Linked DNA regions of Oryctolagus cuniculus. The protein of the gene in region 1 purifies or fractionates together with the protein of each later gene. This does not show direct contact. Links are inferred from orthologs where the notes say so. Each region holds a gene or a part of one and is shown on either strand. Other genes may lie near its edges.

Evidence for each region.
Region 2: the proteins of FBXW2 (region 1) and SKP2 purify together in Homo sapiens (affinity purification with western blotting; 4 studies listed by BioGRID). This does not show direct contact. The link is inferred for Oryctolagus cuniculus from reciprocal best matches to the Homo sapiens genes FBXW2 and SKP2.

The regions. Positions count from the first base shown.
Region 1 is NC_091432.1:224,716,662-224,721,095, reverse strand, and holds the start of FBXW2 (F-box/WD repeat-containing protein 2), read left to right. Parts: upstream 1-1,584; 5' UTR 1,585-1,721; intron 1,722-1,830; 5' UTR 1,831-1,939; intron 1,940-2,351; exon of another isoform or gene 2,352-2,372; intron 2,373-4,434. UniProt on the Homo sapiens protein: Substrate-recognition component of the SCF (SKP1-CUL1-F-box protein)-type E3 ubiquitin ligase complex.
Region 2 is NC_091445.1:61,712,007-61,716,441, reverse strand, and holds the start of SKP2 (S-phase kinase-associated protein 2), read right to left. Parts: upstream 3,028-4,435; 5' UTR 2,794-3,027; coding exon 2,786-2,793; intron 2,310-2,785; coding exon 2,038-2,309; intron 1-2,037. UniProt on the Homo sapiens protein: Substrate recognition component of a SCF (SKP1-CUL1-F-box protein) E3 ubiquitin-protein ligase complex which mediates the ubiquitination and subsequent proteasomal degradation of target proteins involved in cell cycle progression, signal transduction and transcription.

The DNA.
Region 1 (4,434 bases):
CTCTATTTGTCAAATAAAAAAATTATAAAAAAATTAACATGAAGGGGAATTTTTACATATACCAAATTTAACAATAAAATGGGTCTTGTAAGTATTTAATTAAACATGAAATCTATGCATGGTTTGCAATTTCTTAATTTTTATAGCTATAAGTTTTGCTTCTAGATCTTTGAGCTTCATTTTACAATTTGGTTTCTTTGCCTAAGAGAGGTTCAAACAATATTATCACTGGGGGCAGTCACATCTGGCACTTTCAGTTTGATTCATCAAACTCCTACACTACTGGGGCTGAGACAGTTTGCTGCAAAGAGATACGTGTGTTTGGTTTCCTTTACTGCCTTCCCTGTCATAGAGGTTATCCAATCTCTGAATCTATGCCTTCCAAATATCTTACATTATTTTCATTAGTCACTCTCTGGCTTTGAAGTCTACAGGGGCGTCCTGTTGTCTGTCCAGTCAAATTTGCTCTCTTGAGACCTAATTTTTAGGGCACCATAGTCGGCTTCTACCCCACAAAGTCAATTTGCATTTCTCTTATTTCAAGAACTCTTGATGAGAGAATTGAGGTGCTTAGAACCTTGGCTGTGCCCTACTACTAGCTGGATATGAGGCTCTACATGTTTATGTCCATAAATTTAGACTATGTTTTCCAACATGGTAAGCCATTTACCACACATGGCTTTTTAAATTAAATGAAATTAATTTAGTTTCTCCATTGCAGTAGGCACTTACCCAGCATTCAACAGCCAGAAGAGGCTCATGTTTGTGGGAGTGAACATTCCCATCAATGCCAGGAAGTCCTACTGGGGCAGGACTGGTACGACACGCCTGTGCCATTTGTGTGAGTGGGTATGCATGTGGCTGATGAGCCCGCACAGAGTGACAAAGATAACCCAGGCATTTGAGTCATTTTAAGTTGAAATCCTATGATAAGCAGTCACTAGGATTTCAGGCAAGCAGTCTAAACCTTTTTTGACCTCAGTTTACCCATCTCTAAAAATGGGACTAATGATAATCACGACCTTGCAGTGTAGTTTTAGGAGTGTTTGGTAGTTTGAGTTTCTGACACTAAACATCCCAGAAGGATGAGATTCGCAGGGTACTACAACCGTTAGGAGGAAAACACCGAGACTGAGAAAGCGAGCAGTGGGCTCTGCCATGGCGTCAATATTGTGACTTAAACCTACACAGTCTGCCTGCCTTTCTCCTCCCCGGTCTCTCGACCCCGCTCGACAGCTTTGCTTTACGTTTCTTCTTAGCACCGTACCTGGCTTAGTCATTTGCTTATCCGCTTTCTTCTCGCTACTCAGAGTTTGGGATACAGTAGGTACCCAATAATGTTTGAACTTGGACGCGTCTCTTAACCTGAGTCACCGTTCCCACTTCAGAGTGAGGATAATAATAAAAACTGCTGCTGAGGCGGCTCCAGAGCAGAGGGAGCTAAAATGAGCCGAGCAAATTTGGATCTGCAGACGAACGCCAGCTTGGGTGGAGTATTCACCAGCTCTAACCCACCGTGAGACCACGGCTCACGCCCAGCCTGACCAAGCGCGTTCCCTTCCCGCCTCCGGCTCTCCCGCCTCCGCCTCGGGCGGGGGCCGGAAGTGCAGCCACTTCCGCCGGGCGCCGCGGGGTGGAGGGGCGCGCGGAGATGACGCAGGCAGCACCGGAAGCCGCTCCCCCGTGAGGCTGCGGACCCCGAAAGGCGGCCGCAGGGCCAGGTCTGTGTACGAGGCGGGGCCGATCGGGGCGGGGTGGGGGGGATCTCGAGTGTCCGCGCCCCTGCTGACCCGCTGCGCTTCGGGCTGTTTGTCTTTCTCTTCCCTGCAGGCGCCATGGCTGCGGAGCGGACCCGGCCGCTGCGAGGCTCTGGCGGCCCGAGCGCGCCTAGTCGGTGTGAACCCGGCGCGAGGTCCCAGGCCCCGGGGCACTCGCTCAGGTCAGTGCCGCGCGGAACACGGCTCCGGGAGCCGAGGGCCTGGGAGCGACGAAGGGGTTGAAGGGATGTGGAGTTCATCTTAAGGGATGGGGAAATTGGGTCTCACAGTTAACTGCCTCCTCCTGCCTCAGTTTCCTTATCTGCGAGAGGAGTTAACAATGATGCCCGGGGCTACCAGGAATTTGAAAGATTAGGAAGCTTGGAGAGATGGTTTATGAGGTACAGAGCGGCGTACTAATATGAGGGCCTGCGCCATAATTGTGGGTATGCCATGGAAACAGGTGTGTATGTGGGGTGCTGCGTGAGCACAGGCAAAGAACACATCGGTGCTAAGTAATAGCGGTAGCTGGCTTTTATCATGGGCTTCCAGCGTGCCGGGAACCGTACTAAACGTTTTACTGCATTATCCTGTTTAATCCTGCCGGAAACCCTTGTGAGTAGTGCTGTTCAGGGCTACGTTTTCCAAGTGAGGAAAGTGGACTTCAGATCGGTGGGGTGATTTGCCCAAAGGTCACCCAGCAGAAAGCGGAGTTGCAGAGCCCGTATTTTACAATCTAAACTCGTACTTGTGTTCTTTCCCAGCTGTCTGAGGTTCCTCTTAAAACCGGAGGCTGTTTTTAGGGAGTTTATTCACGTGGCTTTAAATTCAAAATAGTGTACGATCAAAAGGGACCCCACATCCCTGTTCCTCAGCTCTCCACTTCCCTCTGGAGGTAACCAGTGTTAAGGGTTTCTTGAATATCCAAAATGTATTTTAAGCGTATGTAAGTTGGAGAGTGTATACTGGTTTTCAAAGCCTGGGTGCTATGTAAGTGATTATGTTTGATATGAAAAGATTGGCAAGATAAAGCCTCCTTCCTGACAGCTGCGGATGTGTTGCTTTCATTCCTCACCAGGCCAGGCCTTGGTGGAATGTGGGGGTGGTGGTGCAGACATTCACCTGGTTTTGCCGAGAATGTCATGTCACTGATAAGACCTGGAGTTGTAGGCCCTGTGTTGTTTTGCTTTGGGAGGGTGGGCCCTTAGGCCGCCTGCTATATCCTGTGCAACTCTGGGAAAGCCCTTCTACGTCTTAGGCCATGAGTTTCCCCGTCTGTTAGTTAGGGCATTAGTATTGATCCCTTTCACAAGGTTGTGAAGATTAAATGAGATAATGTTTATGAGTAGTACTTCCATCTTTAAAACCAATATAAATATGAGACTGGCCTATGGGGGCAAATATGAGTTAAAGGCAGAATCAGAGACCAAACTCAGGCTCTCATCTCCCAGCTTAAGAGACTTCATAGCTCCACCCACTTCCTCAGAGCTCTGTGATTGTTATTATTGTTAATGTTTAGTCTGAGGTGGGGAAAAATAAAAGGTCAAGACAGCAGGGTATGTGGGTAAGGGGGGAGAAAAAGGCACTTAGTGAGAAATTATAGCCTCAAGTCAGTAACTGCCCTTCGTTGTAAAATTATGCTCCCAGTAAGTTTGAGTCTGTGAGTTTTTCTTCTAGATGTTTTTAAGAGAAACTTTGCCATAAGATCATAGGATTCAAAGGGACCCATCCAGCCTCAGTGTCACAGAAAGCTTGCCTGCCAAGTATTCCTAGTAATAAAGCTAACAGCAAATACCATGTCAGTTATCCTGGACTGGGGACTGTGCTGAGCAGATTCCTGCCTTATTGCTGGTTCTCACAGAGCTGGAGTTGAGTGACAGCTTCCATTTCACAGATGACAGGCGAAGGTTAGAAGTGCGTGAGCATGCCCCTGATCGCACAGGAAGCAGCTTAGTCAGTAAAAGGTTCAGCTGACTGCAGTGCATTTTCGTTTGTCTGGTTCTGTCTCCATATCCAGCAGTCTTGACTGTTCGTAGGAATGGGAAGCTCACCATTCTGGAGGCAGCTTCTCCATTGTTGTGAAGTTCTGATGATTTAAAAGCTCCTTCTTACACTGAATTGAAATCCCATTTCCTGAGCTCCCCCCTGGGGACCATGTGCTACCAGTACATGATATTCCTAGAGACTCTGAGAGTTCAGTTTAGATCTGTGACCTCACCAAAGTCCCTTCCAAAACTAGTTGATTCTTTTAAAAGAGTAAAACTTGGTGACTTAAAAAAATCTTTCTTTTTCTTTTTAATTTGAAAGCATAAGCTCCCATTCACTAGTTCATTCCCCAAATGCCCACAAAGGCCAGGGCTGGCCCAGAGTGAGGAGCCCAATCCAGCTGTTGGCCCATGCGAGTGGTAGGAACCCAATTACTTGAGCCATTACCACTGCCTCCCAGGGTCTGCATTAATGAGAAGCTGGAGTCAGGAGCTGGAGCTAGGAATTGAACCCAGATACTCTGATATGGGATGCAGGCATCTTAATTGCTAAGCTAAATACCCACTCGCTATTTAATAGTGCATTCTGCGGAGTTGTAGGACCTATTCTTCTTCTTTTGAAATACCTTTTTCAAAATAGAGATGAAGAACTGGGAAACTACCCCTACACGGTTGAACAGTTTCTTTTTTTT
Region 2 (4,435 bases), on another chromosome or scaffold:
AAGAAACTAACCAACCAACCAACTTAGCAATGCTTTTTGCATAGAAAACCAGATGGGAGATTTTAGGAACATACTTATCAACTTGGCTCTACCAAGACTTTATCTTGATTTTTAATTTGTCTTTTCTTCATCACTCACCCAATTTCAGCGCAGGCTGATTACCTCTTCTACATTTTCAACAGCCTACTAATCCTGTTCATTCCAACATCAGAATAAATCCAGAATCTGAGCACTGCCGATCACTCCACCCACAGCGCTTAACAGGTCTCCAAGTTTCTGCTCTCCACTCCCCACAGTTCAGTTTCAACATTTTAAAAGGTTAAATCAGGTCACATCATAGCCTCTAGCATGATCTCCCCCTAGCTCATTCCACTTTTGGAATATGACTTCCTTGTTCTCCCTTGAACAAGTATGTCATGCTTCTGCCTCATGGCCTTTGCACTGGGTCATTCCTTCTCCAAGCTATCTGCATGGCACACTCGCTTGCCCCATTTATGCCTTTGTTTAAATGTCAATGTCCAACTGAGGTCTTCCCTTAACATCCTGTTTGGCCGGCGCCGCGGCTCACTAGGCTAATCCTCCACCTTGCGGTGCCGGCACATGGGGTTCTAGTCCTGGTCGGGGCGCCGGATTCTGTCCCGGTTGCTCCTCTTCCAGGCCAGCTCTCTGCTGTGGCCAGGGAGTGCAGTGGAGGATGGCCCAAGTACTTGGGCCCTGCACCCCATGGGAGACCAGGAGAAGTACCTGGCTCCTGCCATCGGATCAGCGCGGTGCTCCAGCCACAGCGCGCCGTCCTTGGCGGCCATTGGAGGGTGAACCAACGGCAAAAGAAGACCTTCCTCTCTGTCCCTCTCTTACTGTCCACCCTGCCTGCCAAAAAAAATAAAAAAACAAACAAAAAAAATCCTGTTTAAAATTGTAATCTATTTTCCCACTCTAGGGTTTCTACTCCCTCCTGGTTTGCTCTATTTTTATTTTTAGACATGGCCCTTATCGCTTTCTAACAAACTACATTAAGTATTTATTATGTTTACTGTGATCCCTCATTAGAATGGAAGTTTCATGTGGTAGCAAGGTTGATTTTTGCCTTACGGCGGCATCCCCGACACCTACAACAATGCCTAGCACACAGTATGTACTCAGCAAGTATGTGCTGAATTAGTGCTTAAATGACTTAGGAGTAAGAAAAACTGATAATCCCCCATGTCAATGCACTGTGCTTATTCTACGGTTTGGAAGGCTCCAGGGTTCTGATCCAATCTGGAGGCAGTCATTCACCTGCCTGAGAAATCAGGGAACAAGGTGCTAGTAGAAGAACACTAGGGTGTGTTACATTCAGTCAACCCACTCCAGCTCAGGGGGATGCATCTGGGGAAGAGAAGGCCTGAATTAGGAATCCATTCTAATGGCTCAGGGAAGAGATGATGAGAGCGTGAAAAATATTTACCACACAAGAGGGAAAGATGGATGTCGGGGACAGCGGAGATCAGATTTTTAGGTTTGTGGGTTTGGTAGCTGAACACAAAGAGCGAGTTACAGACATAGCACACTGGGAGAAGCCTGCTTGGGAGTGGACCTAGGGAGATGAGATGAGTCTTCTCCACTTAGTTTAACACTCGCTTTGGCAGTTCATTAATGAACAACTAACATGAGTAAGGCAAAAAACTTACTTAGGGGTACAGAGCAGTGGATTATAAACAAAAAGAATCCTAAAAGCAGATCATTGTTTATATTCCCATTTACCAGCAGCGCTGAGCTGCACTTTGAACAGCCCGACTCCCTTTTAAGGAAGAAGGTAGGGACATCTTCTCAGGGGTTAAAATTTCGAAATCCATGGTGGACCAGAAGATACATATCTACAAAGATTCCTATGACTTCAACAACTTGCCCCATTTCATTGGAAAATAACTTCAGTTTTGGGCACTTTTAAGAGAGGCCTATCCTAAAGATCCCTAACAAAGGCTTAGCGACCAAATATTAGTTCAAGCCAGCCTTTACGGAACTGGCAGTTTTCATCGGCACACCTTCACACCTCACCTGGGACATTTTCTCTATTGATCTTCGGTCTGCGGATGATCACGAAGTCTTTCTCATTGCCTTTGCTCTTCAGGCGTTTCCGCGGGGGGCTCTGTGGGTGGCCCACATTGGAGAGCAGTTCCTGGGGGATGTTTTCACTGTCCACTTCCTCCTTCTCCAGGGCGGAGACCCCCATGCCTGACAGCAGTTCAGAAGTCTTGCTGGAATCCCATCCCCACGTGAAACTAGTGGTGACGTTGCCACTCTGGTCTGGAATCTCCTGGAGGTGTTTCCTGCAGAAGCACACAATACCCTCGGTTCCTTTCTGAAGTACACCCGTGAGGACTTCCAAGGTGGGCACAAAGCAAGCTACAGGTTACACCCGGTAGGAAACCGTCGCCGCAGCTAACAGAACGGCACTTTTTACGTGCCCGCGGCGAGTTCCCCGGCAACGAAGGAGAAAGTAACCGGAAAAAATCGAAAAGGCTTTTCGATTTGCGGTCAAGCAGAAGGCCCCGAGAATTTCTTCCAGGGGAGAGAACAAGGAAAGTACAAGGGCGATCACACAGTGATTGAAACCGGCCGCGGGGAAGCCAAATAAAGCGGGACACCGATTCCCGCACCAAGGCGGCCATCCACCCGCACTTTCCCCAAGAAAGGTCTATTCTACAACGGCATTAATAACAATATTAGTTAAGCAGCAGTATCTGCGGCCTAAAAGAATTAAGATGGTCCATTCATACTCTCCTCCTTTTTGCAAACGGCTTACCTGTGCATGGCGTCCACAGGTTCGGATGTTTTAAATTACCTGCATTAACTGCAGAGCTGCCCGCCTCCTAGATTCCCGCTTTGGCGCGCAGCGGCTCGAAGAGTGCGGCTCCGGCCCCCGGCGCCAGACCCGCGAACTCTAGTAACGTTCCATCCTCGCCGCGCGCGCAGGGTTCTTCTGCCCGCTCGCCTCGCCGGCGGCCGTCTGCAGCCCCGCAGCCTGCTGGGAATTGTAGTCCCGCCTCGTAGTCTGACTGGCTCTTGCTACTTCCTTTTCTTACAGCTCTGCCCGCCCTCTGGATACCCACAACCCCACGCGGTGCGGGGATGCTCGGCCCACGGGGTAGGCGGGGAAGCGGAAGTGGGCGGTGCTTCGGCTGACTGGGAAATGTCAGCCACCTAACTGCTGACGGGTTTTCATCCCCAGACAGCCCTCGGGCCTGCTGGTGACAGCCACCGCCGTCGCGTCCGAGCGTGGGTCCCAGAGCCTGGACTGCCGTGGCGGACACGGAGTTTCCCGTCCCTTCCACATGCTGTCGAGCGAGATCGGACGGTGAGCCTGAAGGAAAGCGCATGAGACTCTCTGGGGTCTGGGCTCGGGGGATCGAGCGCAGCGGGAGATGGAGAGGGGACCCGGGAGACCCCGAGTAGCCGCCACCACGGGGCCCCCGGCCCTCGCCGCCGAGGGAGGGTAGTAGCCTGGACCACCGGCCGGGTGGGAGGCGGCGAGCTGCGGGCGTCCCACCTGCGCGTTCCTCCGACCGGGACGATCTCCACCTGGGAGAAGGCGGCCCCTAGACTACTGGGTCAGTGGACAGGATCCTTGCCTCGTTAGTAAAACAGCCACGACAACAATGACGCACATCGGAGAGAGAACGCGTGTGAAAGCGTTTTGTAAACGGAAGGGCAATTCCAAGTCGCAGCCGTGGTTTAATTTTTTGGGGGGAGGGGCGGCGACCACAGGTTCCAGGGTGCCTTAGGGAAGACGCGCACCCCCCTGGCGGCCTCGACAGGTCTCTTAAATATTAGCATGGCAGTAGGTGAGAGGACTGTTAGGTTTGTAGGGAGCTTGACCGGTGCAACGCAAGGGGCCACCTGCAAAGCCTTTCGGTTGCATCCGTTTGTGTCGCCGCCTCAAAGCGAGCTGCATTTTTAGCCTATCTCTGAGGAGAAGAGATTGGAGGCGGTTGGAGTAGAGAACGTGCCATATTCCAGGTCGGATGACCAGGCGAAATCCATTGTGCAACCCTACTACAAGTGTGATCCCGGGCAGACAGTGGAAGAGGGGAGGGGGGATGGATTCCAACCCTAACGCAGATGAAGAGGATTTATAAATTTCAGAAGTAAGCAGGCCAGCTTGATCAAACGACATACCCTCGCGGTTTTCTGGAAAAACGTTGAAAGATTCTCTTTATGCTGGAATTAAACCTCCCTTGCCCCGGCTGGTGCTTGTGCCAGACTTGGTACTTAGTTTGAAAAGGCACTGCCTCTTGATGGAGGCAGGTGTTTATGAACCTTTAATCTGTTCTAGAAAGTGGGACCGTTGTAAAGAAGGCGTCTGTTCACAAATCGTTTGGTCCTAGGTGAAGAACACTAGACTGAGTGTTCACAATGCATTACGATAATGTTCTATATAGTATATATATATATA